7 linked regions of the Sus scrofa genome follow. The protein of the gene in region 7 interacts with the protein of the main gene of each other region in a pairwise test. Links are inferred from orthologs where the notes say so. Each region holds a gene or a part of one and is shown on either strand. Other genes may lie near its edges.

Region 1 (4,182 bases), about 34 Mb from region 7:
CTCGCCTGTGTCTGCATTTCAGCACTTTTCTTTGCGATTTTTAGGGGTCTTTGTTCGGGTCTCAAAGTGCGTACCTCTTTCCCAATGAGGATTCAGGTGCAAGGTACTTAAGACGGGGATAGTTTTCTTTTTTCTTTTTTCTTTTCCTTTTGCTCTTTAGGTCCCCACCTTCAGCATATGTAAGTTCCCAGGCTAGGGGTTGAATGGGAGCTGCTGGCCTACCCCACAGCCATAACAACTCAGGGTCCGAGCTGCGTCTGCGACCTGCACCACAGCTCACGGCAACGCCGGATCCTCAATCCACTGAGCAAGGCCTGGAATCGAACACGCAAGCTAAGGTTCATTTCTTGCTTTATGGTGCTACGTACTAGCCCGCCACATCAACTAGAACGCCTCATCTGGACTACAAATCCCAGCATTGCTTGCGAGGATATAGAGCCCGGCCTACACTTCCCAGCGTGCTCCACGCCTCAGGGTGATTGCAATGGCAGAGAGGGCCAGTTTAAGGCTCTGCGGGCATTTTCATTTGTGGATCCTACCTCGCAGGTTCCCTTCCCGATGTGATCCAGGGGTTACTCGGGGACTCTGGACTTATCTTGCCCTCGAATCTTATTTCTTGGGGTGTTTGGGGGCTCTGCCTAGGACTACATTTCCCAGCGCGACCAGCGGCCCATTGTCATGACCTTTGTACCGCATACATAATTTCCCAGCATGCCCTGGGCGGTCACCCAGGAAGGCTTGCAATTTTCTTGATGATCCAAGGGTTGCGGACTCAATTTCCCATAGTATCCTGGTGTTTCCCACGACCTAGAGAATCCGTTCTCTCATTCATTCATTCATTCAAAAAACTATTTCCGATCGCGTTCTACTAGGTACTGGGAACAAGGAAAGCACACAACACAAAAATCCCGGTCTTCCTGGGGCTTATTTCTTGTTGAAGGGCGCGACAAACCCAAAGTAAATAAAGTACATGACATGAAAAAGGGGAAAACGGAAAACTTCTGTACTTTTCGGGTTGTCGAGTCCATTTCCTAGTAGGTCCCCGGGGGCCAGCCCTTCGTCACCTGGATGCTGCGAACGGCATTTCCTGCATGCCCTGGGGCCGACCTCCCGCCTGTAGACTCCACTTCCCAGCACGCCAATCAGATTTCCTTTTGACACCGCGGAGCTGCGAATTTCCCAGTGTGCCTCGGGGCGGGACTATTGCAGAGATCCATTTCCGTTTATGGACTCCACTTCCCAGAGTTCCCCGCGGTCCGCCCTCAGGCGGTTGCCGGTTGCCTCTCCAGCCTGTGGACTCCATTTCCCAGCGGGCCCCGAGTCGGCGTGGTGACGTCACGTGCCGGGCGGGGACCGGTAGATCCTCTGGCGGCGCGGGGCGGGACGCAATTCCCGGCGGCCCGGAGGAGGGCGGGCGTCGGCGACGCCTCGGAGCTGGTCGCTCGCTCGCTCGCTCGCTCGCTTCTTACCTGGCGGGCGAGCGGGCGGCGCGATGTCGGGCGAGGATGGCCCAGGGGCGGGCCCGGGGGCGGCGGCGGCGGCAGCCCGTGAGCGGCGGCGGGAGCAGTTGCGGCAGTGGGGGGCGCGGGCAGGCGCCGAGCCGGGCCCCGGGGAACGGCGCGCCCGTACCGTGCGCTTCGAGCGCGCCGCCGAGTTTCTGGCGGCCTGCGCGGGTGGCGACCTGGACGAGGCGCGCTTGATGCTGCGCGCGGCCGACCCCGACCCTGACGCCGAGCTGGACCCCTCCGCCCCGCCGCCAGCCCGCGCCGTGCTCGACTCCACCAACGCCGACGGCATCAGCGCCCTGCACCAGGTCAGCGCCCCCGCCCGGGCTCCGATCCGCCCTGGGTCTGCGCTGCCTCGAGCACCCTCCCTCCCAGTCCAGAGTCACCCTTGCCAGTCGTGGTCTGCACCGTCGATGCTGCCCCGGTCCTTTATCATCCCGTGCTGAGTCCTTTTCCCATCCCACCCACCTGGAGCTCCCCTCTTCCAGTCCTGAGCCACTTGAACTGGCCTGGTTTTTGCCATCCTGCGCTGCCCTCTCTCCGGACTCGAGCCACTGCTGAGGGCCTCAGGCCAGTCCATCCTCGTCTTGTCTCTTTCGCCCTGCTCTTTCCCCACCTTGAGCGCTCTTAACCAGCCTGGCCCGTGCCACCTCTACTCTGCCATCGAATGCTGCCCCACTTTCTCGAGTCCGCCACTTCTCCCAGCTTCACCGGTACCCACTGTTTCCCCTAGTCCAGGCAGGTACCACTTTCCCTGAGCGTCCTCCTCCTCTCTTCTGGGCCTGTGCTGCTTCTTTTCCCGCTCTCTGGCCTGGGCCGTTTCTTCGGCCAGCCCCCGAGCCTTCCATGCCCTTTCCTTCAGGTTTCTGCTCTTCATCCTTGGTCTCTGCCATCTGTTGCCATGTAAGGGTGCTCTTTCCTGAGCCATCGCCCTCAAGGCGCTCTGCTCCTCAAGTGGATGCTTCCCTCGCCTGGCTCACCTCCTGCTCTCTCTCCTGCCCCCTTCACCTGCGTGCCCTCCTCATTCTCCCTCTGTGCCACCTCTGGCCTTGCACTGTAGGCTCTCTCTTGGGGATGTTTCTCTTTCTCCACACACTTCTCTTTCACTCTGTCCTCTTGCTTTGTGTGGGCCTGCAGCGTTACCCTTTTTTCTGGGCACACTCAGAGCACCCTCCTCTTTCTGGTTCTGGGCCACCTGTCTGTCCTCGGGTCATCTTGCTCTCTCTGCCTGGATGCCCTCCTGTGGCTTTGGGCAGCTTCTCCCTCCTTCAGAGTGCACCGCCAGTTCTCCTAGGCCCGGTCACTTCCCCTTCCCAGGGGACCTAGAGCCCTGCTAGGTCCTCTCTCTCCACAACCTGGGCCCCCAAACCTTTCCAAAACACCTTGCTTTCTGCCTCCATTGGTCTTGTGTTCCAGAGCCAGAGTCACTATATGTCCCAGAACCAGGATTCCCTCTGGTTCTGAGGGCTTTTATCGCATCCCCTGCCTGGCTGCAGTGGGTCTTTGGGGACAGGCCACAGAAGAGCCTCTACTCCTCCCTCTGTCCCCGAGGCTGTCTCCCTCCCAGTCTTCCCAGCTCAGGCCAGTCCCCAGGCCTCTCTTCCCTGCCAGAGCCCGTCAGGTTCGGTTACTTTGGGGCCCAGAGAGGACCCTGTGAAGGAAGCGTGGGTAGGGGCACGGGAATGGGGAGGATGCCTGAAGAGGCCCCCTTAGCCAGAAGAGGAGCAGAAGAGGAGCAGGTACCCAGAAGAGGAGCAGTTCAGGGAAATAGAAGAGTCCCGAGCTCTTTTTTTTTTTTTTTTTTATTTCTTTTCTTTTCTTTTCTTTTTATGGCAGCATCCGTGGTATATGGAGGTTCCCAGCCTAGGGGTCAGATCATACCTGCAACTGCCAGCCTACACCACAGCCACAGCACTCAGGATCCGAGCTGCATCTGCGGCTTACGCCACAGGTCACAGCAACGCTGGATCCTTAACCCACTGAATGAGGCCAGGGATTGAACCTGCAACCTCATGCACACTATGCTGGGGTCTTAATCGGCTGAGCCACAACAGGAACTCTCTAGTCCTTAGTTCTTTTTTTCAGTTTTTTGTCTTTTTAGGGCCACACCTGCGGCATATGGAGGTTCCCAGGCTAGGGGTCTAATCAGAGCTGTTGCTGTCGGCCTACACCACAGCCACAGCAATGCCAGATCTGAGCTGAGTCTGCGACTTACACCACAACTCATGGCAATGCCGGGTCCTTAACCTACTGAGTGAGGCTGGGGATCAAACCCGCAACCTTGGGAACCCCTAGTCCTTTGTTCTGATCTCAGCTCCTCAGCTCTTTTGTGGCCTTGAAATAGTGCCTTTTCTCTCTGTGCCTCAGGTTTCTTAGCTGTTAGCAGGGCCAGTAGCCAGGCTCTCCCTGGTGGGGCTCTGGCACATCCTTCAGCAAGTGCCATAGGCATTCAGTTGGGGAGTTGCAGCCCCTGGTCTAAGGGGCCCCCCCCATTCCCCCGCCCCCGGCCTGTCCCCTACAGAGGCCCTAGTGCTATCTGGGACATTTTTTTTCCATCTAAAGGAGCAGCCCACTTCCTGAGGAGCTGCACGGTCTCAGAGCTTGGCAAGCCCAGGAAAGGAGCCTCAGGCTTTGGTGTCCCCTTTCCTCCGCCACCACCCCTGCCCCTCGCTCCCCT
Region 2 (3,500 bases), on a different chromosome or scaffold from region 7:
CTTCCCATACTACAGATGAGGAAATGGAGGCTCAGCAGAATTATGGGCAGTGCTCAAACAAACAGCTGTCGTGTCATAAAGTATTTCTGAGCAGCTATTGAGTACATATTAAGTGCCAGGCAGTAGGCTAAACAGTTTACACATGTTATTTAATTCTCGCAACAATCCTATGAGTTGACTTATTACCTCCATTTTACAGATGTGAAAACTGGGGGTCAGAAAGGTTAAGCGACTTTCCAGAGGTCATACAACCAAAATGAGGCAGAGCTGACACGAGAACCCAGATCTGGTGAATCTGGAGCCCACGCTCCTTCCTCTAAATAGGCCTCCAAACCTCAGCTTTTCCAAGAGACCCCTGATTCCACCCAGGCCCCAAAGGACGGGCTGGTCCTCACCTTCTCCAGCTTTCCAGAGACAGGGATGAGCTTTGGTGGGGGGCCACGGAGATGGGCATTTCGTGCCCGCTGCTCTCGGGCATCTTCAATGTCACTGCTTGGGCTGGGGGGTGACTCTGTCCGGAAGTCCTCATTGATGTAGGTAAAGTTGGTGCCAGGGACAGCCTTCCTGGGGGGCACAGCTGGGCACAGTGGTTCCTGGGCCTCATAGCCACCCCTCAGCAGCCCATCCTGCTGGCGGAAGAAGGTGGGTCCAGGGGGACCATGGTGGCGGGGAGGAGCCGGCCCCCCGGGGCAGGGCCGGCCTGAGATGAGGCTGCTCACGCTGCCCATGGCTGGAGCTTGTGGGGCAGTGGCGGCCTCAGGAGCGGGCTCCAGTGGCACCGGCAACGTCTGCACAATGGCCATGGCGGCAGAGGCTCAGGCCTGGCCAAGGGCCTCCAGGGAAACCTGTGAGCAGGGCAGTGGTATCAGAGTCTCTCCAGTTTGAGCTCCTCCCTAAATAAGGCCGAGTCCCTCCTGGTCCTTCGGAGGTCAAACAGCCCGCTGGCACCGGTAAGCAAGCACTGAAACCCCCCAGGGCTACTCCTCTGATCAAGGGATGGAACCTCAATTCTCCCTGGGCCCCAGACCACTGCCCAGCCCTGGTCTGAACAGAGCTGAGGCCTGAATAGACGGAGCAGGGATGAGGAGGGGATGGGAGGCCTGGTGGTTACACAGGGCCCTTGGTAGCAGAGGCCCAGGCCCCAGCCCCAAACAGCATCCCCCACAGAGGTCAGGACTCAAGTGAGGGAGGGCGCCCTCTCTACCAGCTCCTAGCACAGGCCCCTGGTCTCTTGGGGCAGGTGGCCTCATTAGAGGTGGACAACCTCTCAGGGGTACAGTCAGCAACTCAGACGGTAATTAGGGTACAAAAAGCCAAGGCCAGGCAGTGCCCAGCCTCCCCCAGCTAGGCCTCAGCTTCTCCCAGACAGAGAGGCGGGAAGGGTGGAGCTGGCCAAACGAGAACCCAGAGCTCTTAGGGAGCCCACAGGTGCCCTCTGGGGTCTCCTGCCTCCCAGAGGTGGATGCAGGTTCATGCTTGTTTCCATGACAACTCCCAGCCTTGCCACACCCAATCAGTGGGGCCTACAGAAGCCCACGCAGGCCCATTGCCAACCTCTATGAAACCTTCCGGCTTCAGACATTCCCCGGGTAACCCTGAGGAGATAAGAGAGAAGCCCTACCATCACCTCTGGCAGCTGCTCCAAGTTCTCACTTCCCTGGAGCCCAGGGAAGAGGGCTCCACCTCCCCAGCCCCTGCTCCTTCCTGGAAGAGGACAGCAAGTCTCCGCCCGGAACTCCCTCCCTAGTCCGGAGGCTGAACACCAGGACTCAGGCATCTGCTGAAGTCATCATGCAGAGCAGGGGCCAAGATGTGGACAGAGAATTGCGTAGGAGTAGGAGTGTGTGCATTTACTTATTTGTGCGTGTGAAACTGTGCACGAGAGCATGAAAATGAGCACTGTGTGTGAAAACATGAGTGAGTGTGTGTGAGTACACATATATGTTTGGACAGATGCAACGGTACGTTCAGGCACACGTGAGTATCTATGTGCACTCATACGTGCAGATCTTAAAAGAATGTTTGCAAAATAATGTATCTCTCTCAGAAAGTACATGAAAGTTACAAATGCATACATAATAAGTGAATTTGTGGTACATGAGTGTGACTATGAGAGATGTTTGGAGAGATGTCCATTCATATATACATGAGTATGTGTACCTGAGGGTGCACAAGTGTGTACAGAGTGTGCATACAGAGCAATGTGTGTGCATGGGAGCATGAGAGAGAGAGAGAGAGAGCGCACGCCTGGGTGGCATGCAGGGCCAAATGGGTGAGTGGGAGCCTGGTTTTTGTCACTTGCTGGAGTGTAGGGAGAGGAGAGACGTTATCCTTTGCTTGATCTGCTCTCCTTCATTCCCGCTTGTGTTCCATTAAGGTCCCCCCCCTCCCGCCCCGCAACCTCCCCACTAAAGTCAAAAGCCCTAGAGAACTGGGGAGGTGTCCCGACTGAGGAGGAGCGGAACTGGGGTCGGGGTGACTGGTGTCCAGGGAGCAGGGGTAGGGGCTGAGTCCACCCCACAAGTGCCAGCCCTGAGCAAAGTCGGTGGAACACGCCCTCTGCGCTCTCCCAGGCCACTCCAGAGCATGGAGACAACAGCGGGGAAGGGGCTTTTTAGGGGGCTAGGGGGACTGGCACCTCTGCGTTTTCCTACTTTTCAGTGAGCACAGAAAAAGTGGAAACTGAGGGGAGGAGACAGAGACTCCGAAGACGGGAGACAAAGACTGAAAGCGGCCCCAGGGTCAGGCGGATCCAGTGAGCCAGGGGCCCCTCAACCAGAAGAGACATCAGTCTGGGCCCTGAGATCCAGACACCCAGCGAGCCAGCGCCAGGCGTCTGGAAAGCCAGGCCCAGCCAGCCAGGCTCCCGCTCTTGGAGCCCGAGAGAGAAGGAGGGGCAAGTGGAGGCTCCATTTTGAGAAATGCGTTTGTGGCTGTGGGAAGAAAACCCCTCGCTCTCCGCAACATCCTTGAAAAACCCGGACAGCACACGCTCCCCCGCTCAGTGGGCTGGGGGCGGCTGAGGGCTGGGTCCAGCTGGGGCCCGAGGGAGGTCTGGCCAAGGTCCGAGATCCCACGGACCTGTTTTGGGGGCAGAAGAGTTGGGGAAAGTCTCCCCCTCACCAAACTCCAAGGACCATCCAGCGGGATCAAGTCTGGGATCACGAGTTCCCATTCCGAGAGACAGGAAGCCGGGAGCCCCCCCACCCATCCCCCGGAGTCCACCCCCCACCATCCCCCGCCGCTTCCATAAAGTGGGGGCAGCTGTGGAATGCCGCCTCCCCACGGGACCTCCGCCGAGGAGAAGTTGGGGGCGCCCCCAGGCCGCCTCCCAGCCCCGGCGCCCCCTCACCTCCGCCGCGCTGCTCCATGCTCAGCCCCGGGCCGCCCCCAGCGCTCCACAGGCGCGCCGCCTGGCTTCAGCCCGCGCGCCCCACTCGGAGCGGCCCGGCCCGGCCCGGCCCGGCCCCGCCTCCGCAGCGCCCCCGGCCCGGCCCGGC
Region 3 (4,172 bases), on a different chromosome or scaffold from region 7:
AGAGCCGCACCTGCAGCATATGGAAGTCCCAGGGCTAGGGGTTGAACGGGAGCTACAGCTGTCGGCCCCTTCGCCGCAGCCACACCAGATCCGAGCAGCACCTGTGACCTACCCCACAGCTCGTGGCAACGCCGGATCCTTAACCCACAGATCGAGGCCAGGGACAGAACCCGCGTCCTCATGGATCCTAGTCGGAGTCTTAACCCACCGAGCCACAAGAGGAACTCCAGAAAACCTCTGAGGTTTAAAACAAAACCAAACAACCCCCAGCTATGCTTCATGTGGACTGGGCCTGCTACTGCTCAGCTCCACCTGGGGCAACGTTCAATGTCTCCTTGCCAAAAGTTACGTCCAGTTAGCAAAAAAAAAAAGGTCAAAAAGCAGAAGGACTGTGACATGTGGGACAAGGGCCACCACCAGACACTCAGGACACACGTGCCTGGCTCCCCCCAGCTCTGCAAGGATTTCTAACCCAACAGACCACGTGGCTTGCAGAGCTCGTCCAGTTCCTCTTAAACGGAGCTGACCCTCTGCTCCAGCAGGAGGAAGGCTTCACTCCGCCCACACACCGCTTGGTCCCCAGTGGGTCCGGTTACAGGCTTTTCTGCTCTTTTTCTAAATCAACAGGTGGAAACAACAAGGCAAGGCCTGGTTTGGATGCACCACAAACACGTTTTTGAGACGGGCCTTCTGGGGAATGGGGTGTGGCAAGCTCCAATTCCACCCTCCACTTGCCAGGTCCCTGAGCAGGTGAAGAGCCTGCCCCGAAGGGGCGCGAGGCACGCAGGGGGAGCAAAGCTGCACAGCCAGCCGCCTACCTTGTCCCGTGGGGCGGGGGGGTGCCACCCTTTGGGTCAATGGGGGCCACTTGGGACAGCTTTCCAACGTTGTTTACTATTTACAGGCCAGGCCTGATTTAAAAGGTGTCCTCTGCCTGTACCCCCCATCCCCCCGCCCCCGCCCCAAACCCCAGGTACTGGCTGGCTCCTTACTCTCAATTCAAGTGTGTTTTTCTTTTTACTACTGCACCGGCAGCCTATGGACATTCCCAGGCTATGGCTCGGATCCGAGCTGCAGCTGCAGCTCAGGGCCACGTCGGATCCTTAACCCACTGAGCTGTGCCAGAGATGGAACCCGATTCTCACAGAAATATCTGAAACCTCCAGCAATGAACCTGCTAAGCCAGAACAGGAACTCCAAAATAAATACCTTTTTCTTTTTTTTGGCCACCCGGCAGCATATGGAGGCCGGGGATCCGATCTCGGGGACCACGGCCAAAGCTGCAGCAGCGCCAGACCCCTTAACCCACTGTGCCAGGCTGGGGATCGAACCTGCCTCCCCGTGAGACGCCACAATCCCGATGCGCCACAGCGGGGACTCGCTCTATTCCATTCTAATCGCTCTCAAAGCGTTTAAAAAAAAAGAAAGAAAGAATGAGAAATCAGGTTGACAGTAAAACGAAACGCTTCTGTCACATGCACACCTGGAAGAGTTCCCTAAGTCTCCACCCCACGGGGAGGGTGGGGCGCCAAAAAAAATTATCTGTGGGGCGCAGAGCTGCAGGTTTGCAAAGTGGGGCCGCAGGCACCCCCATGCGTGGGGCGGTGGAGGGATTTAAAGTATTTTTCACAGCCACAGTCAGATGCACTTGGCCTGTTTGCACCCCAGTCTCTCAGGGGTGCCCAGGGGTGTGTGCCAGAGACAGGCGGCGGGCGGTGCCAACCGCGTGGAAACAGAAGCGGACCTCCGAGGATTTCTCACCTTAGGCCACACGCCAAAGGCGGCCACAAAGTAACACAGCACCGCACTCCCCACCGACCCCTCTGTTTGGGAAGGAGTTACTGTTCATCTAAAAATAAAAAGCCACGTATGCTCGCAGAGCCTGGCGTTATCCTGCTTCCTTTGCAAATCAGGGCAGACAGGAACGCTCCGGGTCTGCGGCTGAAGTCCCAGGCGCGCCAACGGGAGCCGACGCGGCCCCGGCCACACAGCGCCTCGCGGGCCCCCCAGCAGCGCTCGGAGCGCGAACCGGTCCCGACACCGGAAAGTTCGGGGTCGCAGACGCCGCGGGCGCAGGTCGCTAAGGCCGCAGAAGCAAGGTGCCCCTGAAGCGAAGGGCCCTGCCCCCGAGGCCCCCCCGGGCCCCGCACGCCCCCCGGAGCCCGTCCTACCTGACCCTGCGCGGAGGCCGGGCTCTCGGCGCGCCCTCCTCCCTCCGGGCGGGGAGCTGCGGGGCAGGCGCGCGGGACCCTGGGGACCCCGAGGACCCTGGCCCGGCCCGGCTGGGTGGGTCGGGGCGCGCGACACCGCAGGGAGACCCCGGCCTCGGGCGCGCGGGGAGGAGCGGCGGGCGGGGCGACCCGCCCTCCACCCCCGCGGCCGCCCGGCCCTGCTTCCGGGAGCGCCCGGCGCCGCGCACGGGCCCAGGCCGCGGTCAAGGGCACGCGGGGCCCGGGCGCGCCCCTCCCCCGCTCTGCCCCCGCCTCGGGGGCTGCGCCCCGCGGGGGACGCACCGCCCGGGCCCGGAGCCGCCGCCGCCATCGCCGCCGCCGCCGCCGCCGCGAGCCACCCGCCGGCCCCGCGCCCCGACCCCGCCCGCCCGCCCCCGGCCGCTGACCTGGCTCCGCGAAGCCCCCGCGGCAGCGGCGCAGCAGCTGCGCCAGGATCACCGCCGCGCCCGCCGCGTAGACCCGCAGGGCCGCCCGCGCCGCAGACAAAGGCGACATGGCTGCCCGGCCGCCGCTTCCGCGCCGCCCGCGGGACTCGGCGCTCGCCCGGCCGGACGGCGGAAACGCGCCCGCAGCGGCCCGCCCCCCGCGCCCGCGCGCCCGCCCGCCAGCCCGCCGGCCCCGCGCCGACCCCCGCCCCCGCCTGACCCGCGACCCCGGCCCCCCACCCAAACTGCAGACCCCAAGGACGCCCGCTCTGACCCCTGACCCCGCCTGACCCGGGACCCCCAGACTCCCTCCAGGATCATGGACCCCAGGGACCCCCCCCAGACCCCAGACCCCCACCCAAACCGAGGACCCCAGGAGCCCCCGCTCGGACCCCGTAGCTTCCCTGACCGGGACCCCAGACCCCCACCAGGACCACAGACCCCTGGGACCCCAGCCTCCCGACCCCCACCCAAACTGCGGACCCCAGGGACGCCCGCTCTGACCCCTGACCCCGCCTGACCCGGGACCCCCAGACTCCCTCCAGGATCATGGACCCCAGGGACCCCCCCCAGACCCCCGACCCCCACCCAAACTGAGGACCACAGGAGCCCCCGCTCAGACCCTGGAGCCCGGCTGACCAGGACCCCAGACCCCAGAGACCCCCCCCAGAGCCCCCTCCAGGACCACGGACCCCAGGGATCCCCCACCTCCACTCCCGACCCCGGAACCCCATCCAAACTGCGGACCCCAGGGGGTCCTGCTCTGAACCTGAACCCTGGCTGACCCGGGACCCCAGACCCCCACTAGGACCACAGACCCCCAGGGATCCCCCCAGACCCTCACCCAAACTGTGGATGCCAGGGAACCCCCCTCCAACTCTGCCTGACCCGGGACCCCAGACCCCCTCCAGGACCATGGACCCCAGAGACCCCCTTCCCAGACCCCCACCTAAACTGCAGACCCCAGGGACCCCTGCTTGTCTGTCAGTGCCCCACCAGACCCAAGGACCCAGCCCGGACCATGACTCCTGCCTGGATCCTGGGATCCCACCTGACCCCAGACCCCAGGGTTCCCCCTCCTGGACCCCAGGACACAGAACTATGGACCCCCCCCACCCAGATCATGTGCCCCTGTGCTGACAGGAGACCCAGGGAAGCCCCGCCCTCACCTTGAGCCCCCGCACAGACCCCAGGACCATCACTCAGATCCACCCTGGGACTACAGACCCCTGGTCCAGGGACCCCACCGGGACTGCAGGCCACCCCTGCGCCAGAGACCCTACCCTGACATCAACCCAACCCAGCCCCCTAACTCCTGCCTTGGGCCCACCCCACCCTCGTGACCCCAAGACCCACCCTGGACCCCAAACCCACTCTTTAGACCATGGACTCCCACCCAGACTGCCTAGCCCCACATAGACTTGGAACCTGTGGGGACAGTGGGATCCCTCACAGCCCGCCTCCCCTACCCCAGCAGAACCCCACTGTGGCCAGGACTCCTGGTCCCTACTGGGGC
Region 4 (2,476 bases), on a different chromosome or scaffold from region 7:
GAAATCTGAGAAAAGCCTAGTGGGACTTGGTTTCCACAATTCTCATATTTAACCATGAAATTAAAATTAGGAGCAGGGCTAGATTTCACAGTCATAAGCAGGCTAGTCAGTGAGTTCCAAAGAGTTCACATACTCTTCTTTCTATTTCTATTAAAGTTTCACTGTCTGAAAACTCTGGGAATAACGACCATTGAATAAACTCTCGTTTATTAAATAGCGAGTGGAAAGAGTTAAGAGTTGACTTAAAGACAGAAAACATGGTAAATGTGAGTCAGGGCATTACAAAGTTTGCAAACAAAACCAGATCTCCAAAACAGGATGATTTTGTTAAACTATTGTAAATAACTCAGGAGAGAAAGCAACACACCCCCATGTGAATTAATTTTCATTTCCCCCCTCTATTCAGAGTTTCATCCAGATGTTGCAACCTCAGGCAGCTAGTAGACAATAATTGAAAAAGTAGACTAAGATTTAAATGGTCAAGACACAAATGCATAAAAAAGGATGTTTATAATGTGTTTATTCCACTAACTTGAAAAACAGGATTCTTTTATTTTAAATTACCACATTTGAATGCATGAAAGGAATGGGCCACAGTAAAACAAAAGTAATTACTTTTAAGACCATTTTTATTATCTCTAGTTTTGTATGCATTTTCAGAATTTTATCTGTCTTTATCACCATAACCAAGACAGAGATGTTCAAAACCAAGTTTTGACCCAAACTGGACTACTGAGATGCAGATGAAACAAGCAAATCAACACTAATAACCAGTAAAAATATTTTCCTGGATATTTATATACCATATTTACAAAAGTAAAGTTAAACCAATTGGTATTATGTACATGCATTAGTAAATATTTGTACTTTACATTTATATATATATGCATTTGTAAAAATCAAGTAAAAAGAAATTTTAAATTATTTTTATTTATGAAAAATATATATAATGTGACATACAAACTTTAATTTGAGTGCTTGTTCAATACTCAGTGCTTAAAAACATTTGGAAAAAAATCTCCAAATATATTCTGATAGAATATAAAGAGTTGAGGAAACAGTGATACTTGTGATTTAAACAAGTAGAGGAGGTGAGCAGAAAGAAGATACACATCCATGTGGGAATCACATAGCATAAACCAGATAAAGAGTAAGAAAAGGAAGATGTGCAGTTTTTCCCAAGGTCAATTTCACTCGAAAATGAATAGAACCAAGGTACTTTCAGGACAGGGTAAATGAATTGAAGTTTTAATAACCAGTCCTTACACAATGGGCTGATGCACAATTTGACTTCCTCCTAGAGGTTCATGAGCAAACGTGCCTTGGACATTTACCGTAGAGTACACTACAATGTCAGTTCCTCATTTGGCTTCCGTTAAGAGGCGAGGGTGTTTATGTGCCATATAATGATCTCACAAAATTTCAGGAGGTATCTGTCCTTACTGAAGAAACAATGGGGTGACATGTACCCTCTTTCCAAGTTCGAGCTGGGCTGGAATTCTTGGACCTTGAGTGTTTTCTTTCTCTAAAGAGCGAGGTCCATAGGCATTAGAGCAACTCATCCCAGTGCAAATGGCCTCAACATCTTTCCCAGGGTGCTTACTAGCCCTTTCAGGTCTGGGATCAGGTGTTGCAGGCCTGCTAGTTCAGGCAGGGGCAGCAGAAGCAGCAGATGGTCCGGCAGGGATTCTTCTTTTTGTACTGCACCGCCTTGCGCACCTGCACCTTGGCCTGGCCGGTGTAGTCAAGGGTCTTCTGCACGTTGAACTCGATGACGTCCAAGGTGTCAGCCTGCTGCTCCACCAGCATGGCCATCTGCAGGAAGAGGTCATGCAGGTCGCGGATGCGGCTCTCCAGCCGCAGCATCTCGCGGTGGCGGTTCTCGATCTCATTGAGGGCCGCCCGCGCGCCCTTCACATCAGCCAGCAGGTTCTCGGAGAACACGTCCCATTTGCCTTGTTCGAACATGTCCTCTATCTGGTTGCTCGAGACATCCTTGCCCATGATCTCCAGCTGGCGCTGGATGCGGATCTTACAGTTTTCGCGCTGCTTCATCTCGGCCTGGTTGTACTCGTGCATGGCAGCCTGGAAGGTGCGGGCGAGCGCGCTGTACTGCGCCTGCGCGATGCGCGCCACAGCCGAGTGCTCACCGTGCTTTGCCTGCGCCTCCTCGCTCAGCGCCTTCATGGCGCTCAGCTTGCGGTGGATGCTCTCACCCCGGGCCTTGATGTCCTTGGCAATCGAGTTGGTGTCACGCTTGATGCTGCTGAGACGCCGCATGGACGTGAGGAAGCGGGCGTTCTGCTTTCCCAGCCGCTTCACGTCAGTAAACAGCTGCTGGTTTTCATCCTGAAGCTCCTGGATGTCTCGGTACAAGGATTCCAGGATGTGGTCCGTCTCAAACACGATGTCCTCGTGAGGTGAGTCAAAGTCATCGTCCTTTTCTGGGAACTGCTGGTCATAGTGCTTGGTTAAC
Region 5 (3,500 bases), on a different chromosome or scaffold from region 7:
TTAGTTGTGATTTGGTGTTTTTTTGAGAGGAGGCAAGCTCAAGTTCTTTGACTCTGTCATCTTCTCTCCTCTCCCTAATGTCTATTCCTTATGTGTGCAGGGTACTTTAACATTCACCACGTTTTCAAGTGCTTTTTCAAATAATTTCATCAGAGATAGGACAGGTTTTATTGCCTCTGTATTTCACATGAGAAAACTTCAGCATTGAGACAATTAAAAGACATTCTAAGTTTCCTGGAGTTAGAGGCCAACCCAGAATTCAAAGCAGAAGTTTTGATTTCCAGTCTCTGTTCCTTCCACCTCACTATGCTCTGTCTCAGTACTGCTCATCTTTCCTCTAACCAGGCTTTCCCTTCTGACTGCCTCCCCACGACACCAGCCAGGACTCAGCCCCATTGGCCCAGTCACTCCTCCTTCTCCTCCAGCATAGAGACCTGAGCTGGAAAGCAGGCTCTAAGCCACATTTGCTTGACCAGGATTATTTCAGTCTCCTGGTGGGATTTTCCAATTCCTCCCTGGAGGTTTGCTGCCTGGGCTCCAGTAGGGCATCTCAAACTTACCAGGGCTTCTATCTCCTATTCTTCTCATACTACTCTATATTTCACTCATCAAAATGGAGATTAGAGTGCTGAGTTTAATCACACATAAACCCATTCATTCTTTGATGAAATATTTATATATATATATATATATATACATAGTGTATATATCTAGGTATATTTCTATTTAGTTATAAAGCATGGTAAAAGACATACCACATACAAAATTATATTCAAATCTGGGGTTAGAAAAACATACCTAATCATTTTTCAAACTGGAAGTCACTTTCTCATGGAACACCCTTCAATTATAGGAACATCTTACTTTTGCAAAATAAGTGATTTATTTGCCATTGGTTTTGACTGTGGGTACATGGATGACGATTAGGTAAGAAGAGCGTCATGTTACCTTAGATTTCCAATGGCAAAGCCTAAGCTGTGCATGCATTTGGGGAGCAGCATTTTCCAGGGTTCCTAAAGCTGTGATTATCTTTACTTGCTAGATTCAGTTGCCTCCCCTCCAGTTCGGGATGTGGGCATGAATTCTCCAGCTCTGGTCTTCCCCAGCTCTTCTTCTGCTCCTCCTGGCTCAGAGACCACAACCTTCAATAGGACAAATGGTAAACAGCACAACTACAGGGCTCAGGGTCTAGTGATGATGGAAAGTTATTGATGCAACTAATAGTTGGTTCTCTATATGTACATTATCTGAATTTAGAGAGATTTTTTCTGCATGTCCCAAGGCCCTTAGCCCTACTTATTGCACCTTCTGTGGCTGCCTTTTTTTGTCATTTTTCTTTCTCCTATGGCTTTCCTATTGCTCTGGTACTGCCTCATTGCACTATAATCTCTGCCTTCTTAAAAGTGCTCTCTATCCAACTTAATTTCCTTGTCTGTGTCTTCTCAACCCCCAAATTTAAAAGTTTTTATTAATTATATCTGCCCTGAATACTTTATTGGTCGATAAGGATAAAAGCTGCCTCCTGGCAGTCTATCATCATGAGGTGATATAAGAAAGATTATAGAATATAAAACCCAGAGTACCTATGGACTTCACACTTGTGCTTTCCAAGACTGTCAAGATTTCTTGTTTCTGGCCTCTCTCACTACTTGATGTCCTTTTTGGATTGAACTGAGAATATGCTTATGAATAACAGTGGATTCTGTTGTGTTGTGGTATTATTCCTCAGAGCTGGGTTTGGATGCTTCTCCAGTGAAGAAGAACCCTCACCCTCCCAAGCTGGAAGGTGATGCTACTGACGGCTGCTTTGCCAATAAGCATGGCCGCCATGTCATTGGACACATTGATGACTACAGTGCCCTAAGACAGCAGATTGAGGAGAGCAGACTGCTGGTCAAGAAGATAGCATCTCTCATGAGATCAACCTGCAACTTTCCTGGCCTTGAAGCTCCAGGCCCAGAGGTAATCATATCATAGCTCTCAGGTGCACCTTTTTCCTCAGGGCCTTTCTTCTTCTGATTTTAGCTCCTTCTCCTGCTATTTCTTTTCATGCTCCAGATCTGAAGCCAGCTCCAATCTTCCATTTTCATCTGCTAAGTTCACTATAAGCTCTGCTCTGTTCTATATGTAGCTGACTTGATATATCCCCCTCAGAACCACAGAAAAGCTTTTACAGCACTGCCATCCTCATTGCCATCCTCATCAGTAGAGCATGTTAAGTGTCAACATACATGTGGTGCTGTACTGAGTACCTTTTATTTGCTTATTATCTACTGAAGCCATGCTTGCACATGACCATCTGTAGGCAGAAAAGAAAAAAAAAATATGTCAGTTGGCTAGGAATTGAGAATTTGAATCCATATGGGCAGGCGTGATATCGGACGTGCTGTGGGAGTGACAGCATGAACCCAGAGTCAGCTGTTATCCCAAGCAGGGAAAGTAACAGGTCCACAGGGGGTGCATAAGTTCTTTGGGGAGTAGAAATACCAGACAAAGGGAGTGGCACCTCAGTCCTACAAGCAGTGCAGCTCATCTGATGCATAAGCTGTGATTTAGGGAAGGGCAAGATGGGGCCAGTGCAAAAACTAAGGACCTCAGATTCTAAAGCACAAAGCAGGGCTAGAAGTTAAAGAGTATGGGGGAAGCTGGAATCAAATGAATTCCTGCCATAGGGTGTTCCTGCTGAGATCAGAATTTCACAGGGTCAAGTAGACCACGTCTGCGCCTCACTCACAAAAGAAGCTGAGGCTTATGCTCAGGAAAAAAGAAGTGATTTCTCAGCCCCAGGGATACCCATGGCTACCTCCCCCTTTTCCCAGGAGATGGGCAGCAAAGGTGTCCATGAGCTCCTGAGCAGCACCAACACTCTGCACCAGCGGCTGGAGGAGTCGACCTCCCTCCTCACCATGTTCTGGCGAGCAGCCTTGCCAAGCTCCCAAGGCCCTGCACTGGCTGGCAAAGTGGTAAGAAACCAGCATCGTCTACAGGTCCTGCCCCCAGATATCCTTCTGCCTCCTTGGTCTGCACATCCTGAAGTTTGGGAGCCAAATGGTCAGTTGGGACAGAGGGAGCTGATGGGAGTGTCCCTGGAGGGAGACTTCCCCATGATGGCCGATTTCAGTCTATCTCTGACTGTATCTCTTCGCCTCCCACCCACAACCCCTCAAACAAGTAATCAAAGAGAAAAAGGAAAAGATATGGAATAGGCAGACATGAGAGCCCGGGTAACCCATAAACCTTTGGTTTCTTCACTTTTCCAAAGTTTAGCTGAGCTGAAGTTCTTGGCCATGTTGAAACATCAATACTTCCTTTCCCATCCCCACCTTACCCCCAGGTCCACATAGTCAGGCAGGATCACAGAATGTCACCAGAAGTCAACTGGCCTCTTTTAGCCACCCACTGGAATCCCAGAAAAATCACTTAAATCAGCTTCTCTGGGTCAGTCCTAGGGAGAGTCCGCCTCCCCCAGGGGCTTTCATATCTCAGGCTGGCTCTCTGGT
Region 6 (4,015 bases), on a different chromosome or scaffold from region 7:
AGCTCTTTTTCAACAGCCCCCCCCCCAAAAAATGGCACAAATGAACCTATACACAGAACAGAAACAGACTCACAGACCATAGAGAACAGACTTGTGCTTGCCAAGGAGGAGAGGGAGGGAGTGGGATAGACTGGGAGTTTTGGGTTAGTAGATGCAAACTGTTACACTTAGAATGGAAAAGAAATAAGGTCCTACTGTATAGGAATGTATAACTGGGTCATTTTCCTGTAAGACAGAAAGTGGCACTATACTTTAAAAAATAAAAAAGTAAAAATTATATTCTTTTGATTTAACCATTTAAATGTAGCATAGTACAGTCTTAGTCAAATGACATTCTTCAAAATGACACACTGCTGATGGCGTAGGGGTGATGTCTCTTTTCCTGTTTTTTGTAAGGAGCACTTCTAATTGCAAAGAAGTTGACCAAGCCACCAAAGGAAGGTCAAGGACAAAGTCCACAGCTTAATGGCATCAACTTCCCAAACATATGAGTGGGGCAAAGGTAGAAAAATAAAGTGTTGGGAGTTCCCATCGTGGCGCAGTGGTTAACGAATCCGACTAGGAACCATGAGGTTGCGGGTTCGGTCCCTGGCCTTGCTCAGTGGGTTAACGATCCGGCGTTGCCGTGAGCTGTGGTGTAGGTTGCACACGCGGCTCGGATCCCGAGTTGCTGTGGCTCTGGCGTAGGCCGGTGGCTGCAGCTCTGATTAGACCCCTAGCCTGGGAACCTCCATATGCCGAGGGAGCGGCCCAAAGAAATAGCAAAAAGACAAAAAAAAAAAAAAAAAGAAAAAGAAAGTGTTTAATTGAGAGAGGTACAGGAGGTACTCTCAAATCCTTTAAGGAAAAGGAGCTGAGTTGTGGCAGCTGTGACTGGCAAGCACTATGAAGTAGTTAAAGCTTTCTTTCTGAGGCAGACTGTAGCAGGAGGCAATGTTAAGGGCAGGTCTAACCCCTAAAACTAATATGGTAACTTAGGCACCCTTTCTATTACTATTCATTCCCAGGCTATGTGCCACGGCCAGAAGAACCAAAACACTCTGATGAAACAGCTGTTACATGCTTCCCTCTTCCTCTCCCAGTAAATTTCCCTCCAAAGGCCCCTGAATATTCCTTGATTTCCACCAGTGTGCCATGCCTAGCTCATTAAAATAAAATGGCACATGTCTACATCCCTGGCATATATATGCTTTTATCTTAGGTAGGAAATGGAAATAATGATCTTTCCTTCTTCTGGGTTCAGTTCAAGAACCAGGAACCAAGTTGTCTGTTGTGCCCTTCCCAAATCAACTTTTATGTGCTAATTCACTGAAGATAGAGTATAACTAATTATCATTTGAAGGCATCTATTTGACAGGCCTGGAGCAGTTACCATCTGCTGCTAAGGTATCCCCTACAGAGGCAAGAAAAAAGTGTCCTCACCCTTTCTGTCTGATGGTGGTAACAGAGAATGAATGGGGGGATACTGGGAAAAATATTTTGCAACTCACAAAAAACCCTGTGAACAGTAAATGCTTGATTTACTCCAAACAATTTGTTTTTAATTTTACTACCAGATTCTTTTGGGCCTGGGGGGCTGCCAAGTGCAGCAGCCTGATGTGGGATCTCAGTTCCCAGACCAGGGATCAAACCTGGGCTGCAGCAGTGAAAGCACTGAGTCCTAACCAGAGATCTAGGCCACCAAAGACCTCCCTCAAAGAAGAATTTGAGTTTACAAGGCAAGTACTGAAAAATTATTCCCCTACACGCTTGTCCTCTGATTGATTCCACTTGTAAAAGCATATGGGCTAAGTCTAATTAAAGGCAAGCCAATAGGAAAAGTTATCATTTGACTCCTTTAAACCCAACACAGGTGGAGGTTATCTCTCCTAGATCATCAGCCCGTTCTAACTCGTGATGCTTATTAAGTTGATGCTTCATTGCAATAACAGGCAGTTCCCAACTAATTTAAGTCCAGTATTGAGTGAGACTCCACCAGTTCCTGCACTAGGTAGGAGTCAGGAAGCCTTCTTCTCCAAATCATCCCATATTGTACAATCCTGAAAGCCAAAAATATATGTATGATAATAATCAGTATTTAATACTAGGAAAGGATACTCTACGGAAATAAAAAAAAAAAAAAAGGTGCTTCATCTAAAAAATAACAAGGTACCATCCTTCTTGGATGTAGACCCTGCAGGACTGAATTTTGGAGAAATGCTGAGTGGAAAGTGCAAAGGCGTTCGGAGTCTGCTTACTTTTGTCCTTGACATCCTTCCTTTGGTCACCATTTTCAGAACAGCACTAGAAGGAGAGCAGGTGTGACAAACACATTAAGACTGAAGCAATAAGTGAAATTCATACAGGGTTCCCAGAGGGCATCCACGGGAGGACCCCAAGGTTCCAGACCCCTCCCCCCTGGAGACTTCCTGAGGTGCGATCTGATGCAGGTTCCAAAAAGGGCTAGCTCCTTGAGGCCACCACAGCCACCTCCCCAGAAAGATCTGTGTCATCTCATCGGTATCGCCACAGCCACTGCATTGGGATTACCTCTCCTGAGAGGTCTATGCCACCTCACTGGGCCACCAGTGTCCCCTCCCGCGGCCACTAGGGCCCCCTCACCGGGGTTGCTGGCGCTTCGCCGATCTCGCTGGCCGGGAGCATCCTGCCTCCGCGCGAGTCCTCGGTTCCATGTGCAGCCAGCGTGGTCAGTGGACCCTGGCTCCGGCCAGCGGCTAGACAGCGGCTGAACCTTTCGAGACCTTAGCGTTGGACGCCACGGCAACTTCCTCTGCCGTCTCTCTGGTTTCTTCCTTTCTTTCCAGAGAGGCCCTTCTCGCGCAGTTGCCGGTCTTGCGCGGTGGCGCCCCCTGCCGGCTTGGATCCGGATCGGACGCTCTGGAAGAAGAAAAGGGGGCGAGCAAAGGCAGTCCTTGTCATTCTAAGTAAAACCTCCTTCACTGCTTTGGAAACATTAATGATGGAGATTCAAAGTATCCTTCCTTCCACACTGTAAATTCATTATGAATCATTTCAACTTATATTTTAGAGGATATCCCAGATGTTCTGAGAGTGTGAGGGAGCTTGTTGACAAGTAGTAATGTAATTTGGTTGGGTGGTTTAATCGCATAATTTCCAATGTCAGTATCTTTGGATCATTCTTTTAAAGCTAATCAGATTTAACTACAAGTTACACTTCAACTTCCTACCTGAAGGGTGCAGATCTGATTGTAAACATTCTGGGAGCAGAACAGAGGGAAAGGACTCAGCATCTAATATATACTTCAGATCAAAGTCTGTACTTTGCCAGGGAGGAGGACCAGGACTGGCAGCATGATATAGGTAGAGAATTCAGGGATGCGACAACTTCAAAAATAAACATGTAAAGTGGTACCATTGAGACTAAAACTAACAGAGAAAGGGAGAAAAAGCAACCCTTAGAGAAAACAGAACCGATTCAATGAGAACATTGTATTTATTTATTTATGTCCTGAGATATGACGCCACTGCGACTATAAAACAATCACGAGCTACTATTTTGTTTTTACTTTTTGGCCACAATAACGGTAATTCCCCGGCTAGGGATTGAACTCACCATAGCAGTAACCGGAGCCACAGCAGTGACAAGGCCGGATCCTTATCCCACTGAGCAACCAGGGAACTCCAACAGTCTACTATTTTATTTTATTTTATTTTTATTTTGTCTTTTTCGGGCCACACCCACAGCATATGGTGGTTCCCAGGCTAGGGGTCCAATCGAAGCTGTAGCCGCTGGCCTACGCCACAGCCATAGCAACACGGGATCCAAGCCACATCTGTGACCTACACCACAGCTCACGGCAACCCGGATCCTTAAGTCACTGAGCAAGGCCAGGGATCAAATCCCGTTCTCATGGGTACTAGTCGGGTTCCTTAACCACTGAGCCATGACAGGCACTCCTTATTTTATTTTTTTGTCTTTTAGGGCTGCGCCTAAGGCATATGGAGGTTCCCAGGCTAGGATCAAAATGGAGCTATAGCCACTGGCCTACACCAC
Region 7 (4,227 bases):
TAATGTCACCTCTCACCCCAAACCCAGCAAATGGGCCAAGTCTGGGCTCTTGATGCACACAGACAACTGGGGATCTTAGAAAAGCTACTTATTCTCAATCATGAATACAGTCTCTTTTGTTCACTATTCATCATAAGCGCCTAGAATATCCGGACTGGCACAGAGAACGACAAACACTTGTCCTATGAATGAATGAAAAAGACTGCTGCGAAGATTAAATGCAGTAATGTAAGTGCTTAGGGAAGTGCCTGGCTTATAGTAAATTTTGTTATTATTCCACTGGTGACTCCAAGGGGCCCAGCCACCAAGAAGAAAGCTACAACTTCCCAAAGGGCAAGGCATTCCCTAGCCTAGAACTGCAGCTTTCAAAAATGTTTGACTGTGACTCACGACTTAAAAACACTTAAAATAGGGGTTTCCTGGTGGTTCAGTGATGTCTCTGCTGTGGCTCTGGTTACTGCTATGGCTTGAGTTTGATCCCTGGCCCAGGAACTTTTTCATGCCGTGGGTGCGGTCAAAAAAAAAAAAAAAAAAAAAAAGATTTAAAATAACAGTCCATACCCACATACAAATATGTAATCAATTGAAATAAAAGGTCACTATATTAGAATGTACCATGACAAAACTTAATTGACTGTCTATCTCTTTTAATCAACCAAAGAACTTAAGTCTGGTTTATTGTAGACCCAGCACCCTGTGCTTGGCATCCCATAGGTTTCTTTCTTTTTTTTTTTTTTTTTCTATTTCTTGGGCCACTTCCGCGGCATATGGAGATTCCCAGGCTAGGGGTCTAATCGGAGCCGTAGCCACCAGCCTACGCCAGAGCCACAGCAACGCCGGATCCGAGCCGTCTGCAACCTATACCACAGCTCACGGCAACGCCGGATCATTAACCCACTGAGCAAGGGCAGGGACTGAACCCGCAACCCCATGGTTCCTAGTCGGATTCATTAACCACTGCGCCACGACGGGAACTCCCCATAGGTTTCTTTTCTTTACTTTTTTTTTTTTTTTTTCTCTCTCTTTACAGCCGCACCTGTGGCATGTGGAAGTTCCTGGGCCGGAGGTCAAATCAAAGCTGCAGCTGAGGCCTATGCCAAAGCCATGGCAACACCAGCTGCATCTGTGACCGACACTGCATCTTACAGCAATGCTGGATCCTTAACCCCCCGAGTGAGGCCAGGGATTGAACTCACATCCTCACAGAGACAACACTGGGTCCTTAATCCACTGAGTCACAACAGGAACTCTCCTATAGGCTGTTAATAAAATTTTTTTTAAACAAATGAATACCAAGAAGGCACTCATCTTTGACAGTCTCCTATTAGTTAACAGCACAGACTCTATACACTAGAACCTTCTTTTGTCCTGGTCAAGGAAAGGCCATAAGTTCCCTGTCTCTCCTCTATCCTCAATTACCTATAACTCGAAGCCAGAGAGTCTAACACTAGGCATAACGAGAGCTTAGAGGGGTACCACTCCTGGCACAGACACACCAATGTACAGCAGAACAAAGTAGTGGTTAAGAGCTCCGGCCTTGGTGTCAGATACACTTGGATGAGAATCCCAGCTTTACCATTTACTAATTGCAGGACCACAGGCAATCTGCTTGGGCCTCAGCTGCCTCACCGGAAAAATGAGATTAAGTGAGGTTAAGTCATAGAGGTGCAGAAAAGATTTTACGGATAATGGACGTAAAACCCTCAGCTCTGGCACCCACTAAGTTTATAGTACAGCTCTTTGCTGCTTTTTACCAAAGAAAAACTTACAGAGGAGGGCTAATAAGCTTTCTCCACTGTTTTTCTGTTCTGCTTTGGTAACTTTTACGAAGTCCACCATTGCCACCCCTAGCCTGACAAAAGAAATGTCAGAAAGTGGCTTTTTGACAGAGGTCCCATTGCAACAGATGAAAAGCACGTAAGGTTGACACATCCCCAAATACAAAGCTCTCAAGTAAGGAGAAAAACATCCTTCTAACTGATCCTAGTTTTCTAAACACCTAGCTTTAAAATCTTTCCACCAAGAACAGAGCCACTAAACCTCTTACAGCCTCTCCTCTAGCTTGTCCAGGACAATGTCACCAGCCGCCAGCTGCTTGCGTCTCAGCCGCTCCTGTAAGTCTGGGAAGGCCCGAAGTGCCGGCACATCTTCAAATCGCAGATTTTGTGCGGCCTGCAGCTGCTCTGCCAGGTTACTGAGGGAGGCCAGGAGCGGCGGGCAGTCCTTAAGAACGCTCTGCCACAGGCCTTGCTGCTCCTCCACCACGAGAAAGCACTTCCTTAGGGCCTCCTGCACGGCAAGCAAAGGCCCAACTTGAGTCATCTTCTGTGGGAGGAAAAAAAAAAAAAAGACACAGCCCTAGAGTCCCAAGTCGGTAGGGGAAGTACCAAGTCGGTAGGAGTTATTTCCGTTCTCAAGTGAGGTCCAGCTAACCCAGGGTTTCCTCAGGTAGCTGTCTATCCCTCCCGACGGGAGTTTCTAGAGTGAGGGGTTGTCTTACCTTTACACAGGCTCTCGGAAGGCAGGACCCTTATTTCCCACCTCGGGAAAGATTTCTTGACTATTCCTCGCAGGAGGCTCATCCGGCTTCGGGTAGTTTTCTGTTTCAGACTGTGGGTTTCCCGGGCCGTCTCGAGTTTCCTGAACCCGAACCTTGTCTCCTCTCCATGAAGTTACGGCTCGCCTTCCCTAAACCAGCGGCAAAAGTTAAAGCTAAGGCAGTTAAAGTCTGAGGACCTCTCTAGGCCCTCAAGAGCCTTAGGGACTCTCTTTGCGCATGCCCCAACGTGGCTACAGAGTCGCGAAAATATGCCGTCAAACTGCAATGACTTCTGGGTGCTGTAGTCCTGCGTGTGAATTGACTGGCCGATCGCAGAGCGTCCCTGCGATTGGCTGTTGTGGGACCCTCTAAGACGGCGGCTTCTCATTGGTCAGCTTGTGGCAGTTTGAATTTGGTGGCGGCGGTCGCACGTCCGGTTAGTCCCGGAGCCGCTCCCTCTCAGCTGAAGCAGCCAGGGTTTTCTCAGCCCCTATTACCGGGGCCCACAGGTGAGTGCCTCGCGAATCGTTTATGCTCATGCCGGGAAGGGCAGGGGTCCCCTTCCAACCCCCCTGGGGTGTCCTCCGCCCTCTCCTGCTCCTTCGCGGCCCCCTTTCCCTCCCTTTCTCCGCCGCTGACACCCTTTGGCTTGGCCCCTCTCTCCCCGCAGTCTCCAGCGAAGTGCCATGGCTCCGGCTAGGAAAGGCGGCAGTCGGGTGGCCAAGAACAACTCGCTACGGAGCCGAAAGCTCGCTTCCTTTCTTAAAGACTTCGACCGTGAAGGTAAGGGGCGGAGCCCGGGAGGTCGCTGGCATCTGGGACAATCGCGGGGTGCTGGCGGGTTGGGGCGCAGGCCGCACGGATTCCAGGCCCCGTTTGCCCACTGGTGACCCACGTCTTGTCCGCTCTGCCCTCTTGCAGTGCAAATACGATCCAAGCAAATTCAGTCAGACAGGCAGAACCTCCTCAAGGAGATGGATAACCTGTACAACATCGAGATCCTGCGACTCCCCAAGGCACTGCGCGAGATGAACTGGCTCGAGTACTTCGGTAAGAGCTGCTAGAGTTTCCCCAGGCCTCGACCTGGAGCCCTTCTGTGGTTCCAATGACAGCCTTCATCTTCATCCTGAAGTCGTCCAAGATCCCTGTAGGAAACTGCAACCTTACCCATCCCCACTCTGTCTCACTGCCTTGCTTTATTTTTCTCCTTTGCTTTTAACCTCATCTACTTGTGCAGGTAGGCAAACAAACATTTTCTCTACAGAATCGGGTAGTAAATATTTTAGGCTTTATGGGCCAAATGGTTCTCATTGAAAACTACTCATCTCTGCTGTGATAGTTCCGAAACAGCTGTAATGAATGGGCACAGCTGTATTCCAATAAACATGTATTTATGGACATACTAAAATGTGGATTCACATTATAAGATTTTTTTTTTTTGATCCAACCATTTAAAAACAAACAAATGAATAACTTGGTCTGTTACCAGAGCTCAGGTGGAAGGATAACCCCAAGCAGGTCCTTCTGCTTATGGAAATTGCCAGTTTTAAAATGGGCAGATCAGGGAGTTCCCACTGTGGCTCAGTGGTAACGAATCTGACTAGTATCCATGAGGATGCAGTTTGGATCCCTGGCCCCACTCAGTGGGTTAAGGATTGGTGTTGCCATGAGCTGTGGTGTAGGTTGAA

What was found.
Region 1: the proteins of C6H1orf109 (region 7) and PPP1R12C interact in binary tests that used the Homo sapiens proteins (3 or more experiments, as listed by UniProt). The two-hybrid records come from large-scale screens. The link is inferred for Sus scrofa from reciprocal best matches to the Homo sapiens genes AIRIM and PPP1R12C.
Region 2: the proteins of C6H1orf109 (region 7) and LZTS2 interact in binary tests that used the Homo sapiens proteins (3 or more experiments, as listed by UniProt). The two-hybrid records come from large-scale screens. The link is inferred for Sus scrofa from reciprocal best matches to the Homo sapiens genes AIRIM and LZTS2.
Region 3: the proteins of C6H1orf109 (region 7) and ZBED1 interact in binary tests that used the Homo sapiens proteins (3 or more experiments, as listed by UniProt). The two-hybrid records come from large-scale screens. The link is inferred for Sus scrofa from reciprocal best matches to the Homo sapiens genes AIRIM and ZBED1.
Region 4: the proteins of C6H1orf109 (region 7) and STX11 interact in binary tests that used the Homo sapiens proteins (3 or more experiments, as listed by UniProt). The two-hybrid records come from large-scale screens. The link is inferred for Sus scrofa from reciprocal best matches to the Homo sapiens genes AIRIM and STX11.
Region 5: the proteins of C6H1orf109 (region 7) and myomegalin interact in binary tests that used the Homo sapiens proteins (3 or more experiments, as listed by UniProt). The two-hybrid records come from large-scale screens. The link is inferred for Sus scrofa from reciprocal best matches to the Homo sapiens genes AIRIM and PDE4DIP.
Region 6: the proteins of C6H1orf109 (region 7) and RINT1 interact in binary tests that used the Homo sapiens proteins (3 or more experiments, as listed by UniProt). The two-hybrid records come from large-scale screens. The link is inferred for Sus scrofa from reciprocal best matches to the Homo sapiens genes AIRIM and RINT1.

What each region holds. Positions count from the first base shown.
Region 1 is NC_010448.4:59,344,375-59,348,556, reverse strand, and holds the start of PPP1R12C (protein phosphatase 1 regulatory subunit 12C), read left to right. Parts: upstream 1-1,382; 5' UTR 1,383-1,492; coding exon 1,493-1,813; intron 1,814-4,182. UniProt on the Homo sapiens protein: Regulates myosin phosphatase activity.
Region 2 is NC_010456.5:112,081,211-112,084,710, reverse strand, and holds part of LZTS2 (leucine zipper putative tumor suppressor 2), read right to left. Parts: intron 3,493-3,500; exon of another isoform or gene 3,353-3,492; intron 3,205-3,352; exon of another isoform or gene 1,622-3,204; intron 846-1,621; 5' UTR 804-845; coding exon 396-803; intron 1-395. UniProt on the Homo sapiens protein: Negative regulator of katanin-mediated microtubule severing and release from the centrosome. Required for central spindle formation and the completion of cytokinesis.
Region 3 is NW_018085344.1:633,006-637,177, forward strand, and holds the start of ZBED1 (zinc finger BED domain-containing protein 1), read right to left. Parts: upstream 2,801-4,172; 5' UTR 2,727-2,800; coding exon of another isoform or gene 2,618-2,726; intron 2,390-2,617; exon of another isoform or gene 2,172-2,389; intron 1-2,171. Other genes in the region: dehydrogenase/reductase SDR family member on chromosome X, read right to left, coding at 2,618-2,726.
Region 4 is NC_010443.5:21,127,371-21,129,846, forward strand, and holds the end of STX11 (syntaxin-11), read right to left. Parts: coding exon 1,642-2,476; 3' UTR 501-1,641; downstream 1-500. UniProt on the Homo sapiens protein: SNARE that acts to regulate protein transport between late endosomes and the trans-Golgi network.
Region 5 is NC_010446.5:100,650,619-100,654,118, reverse strand, and holds part of myomegalin, read left to right. Parts: intron 1-1,042; coding exon 1,043-1,159; intron 1,160-1,729; coding exon 1,730-1,962; intron 1,963-2,819; coding exon 2,820-2,963; intron 2,964-3,500. UniProt on the Homo sapiens protein: Functions as an anchor sequestering components of the cAMP-dependent pathway to Golgi and/or centrosomes.
Region 6 is NC_010451.4:105,391,638-105,395,652, reverse strand, and holds the start of RINT1 (RAD50-interacting protein 1), read right to left. Parts: upstream 2,801-4,015; 5' UTR 2,644-2,800; coding exon 2,602-2,643; intron 2,284-2,601; coding exon 2,238-2,283; intron 1-2,237. UniProt on the Homo sapiens protein: Involved in regulation of membrane traffic between the Golgi and the endoplasmic reticulum (ER); the function is proposed to depend on its association in the NRZ complex which is believed to play a role in SNARE assembly at the ER.
Region 7 is NC_010448.4:93,747,797-93,752,023, forward strand, and holds the start of C6H1orf109 (uncharacterized protein C1orf109 homolog), read right to left. Parts: upstream 2,801-4,227; 5' UTR 2,501-2,800; intron 2,326-2,500; 5' UTR 2,323-2,325; coding exon 2,048-2,322; intron 1-2,047. Other genes in the region: CDCA8 (borealin), read left to right, coding at 3,226-3,322, 3,461-3,589. UniProt on the Homo sapiens protein: Part of the 55LCC heterohexameric ATPase complex which is chromatin-associated and promotes replisome proteostasis to maintain replication fork progression and genome stability.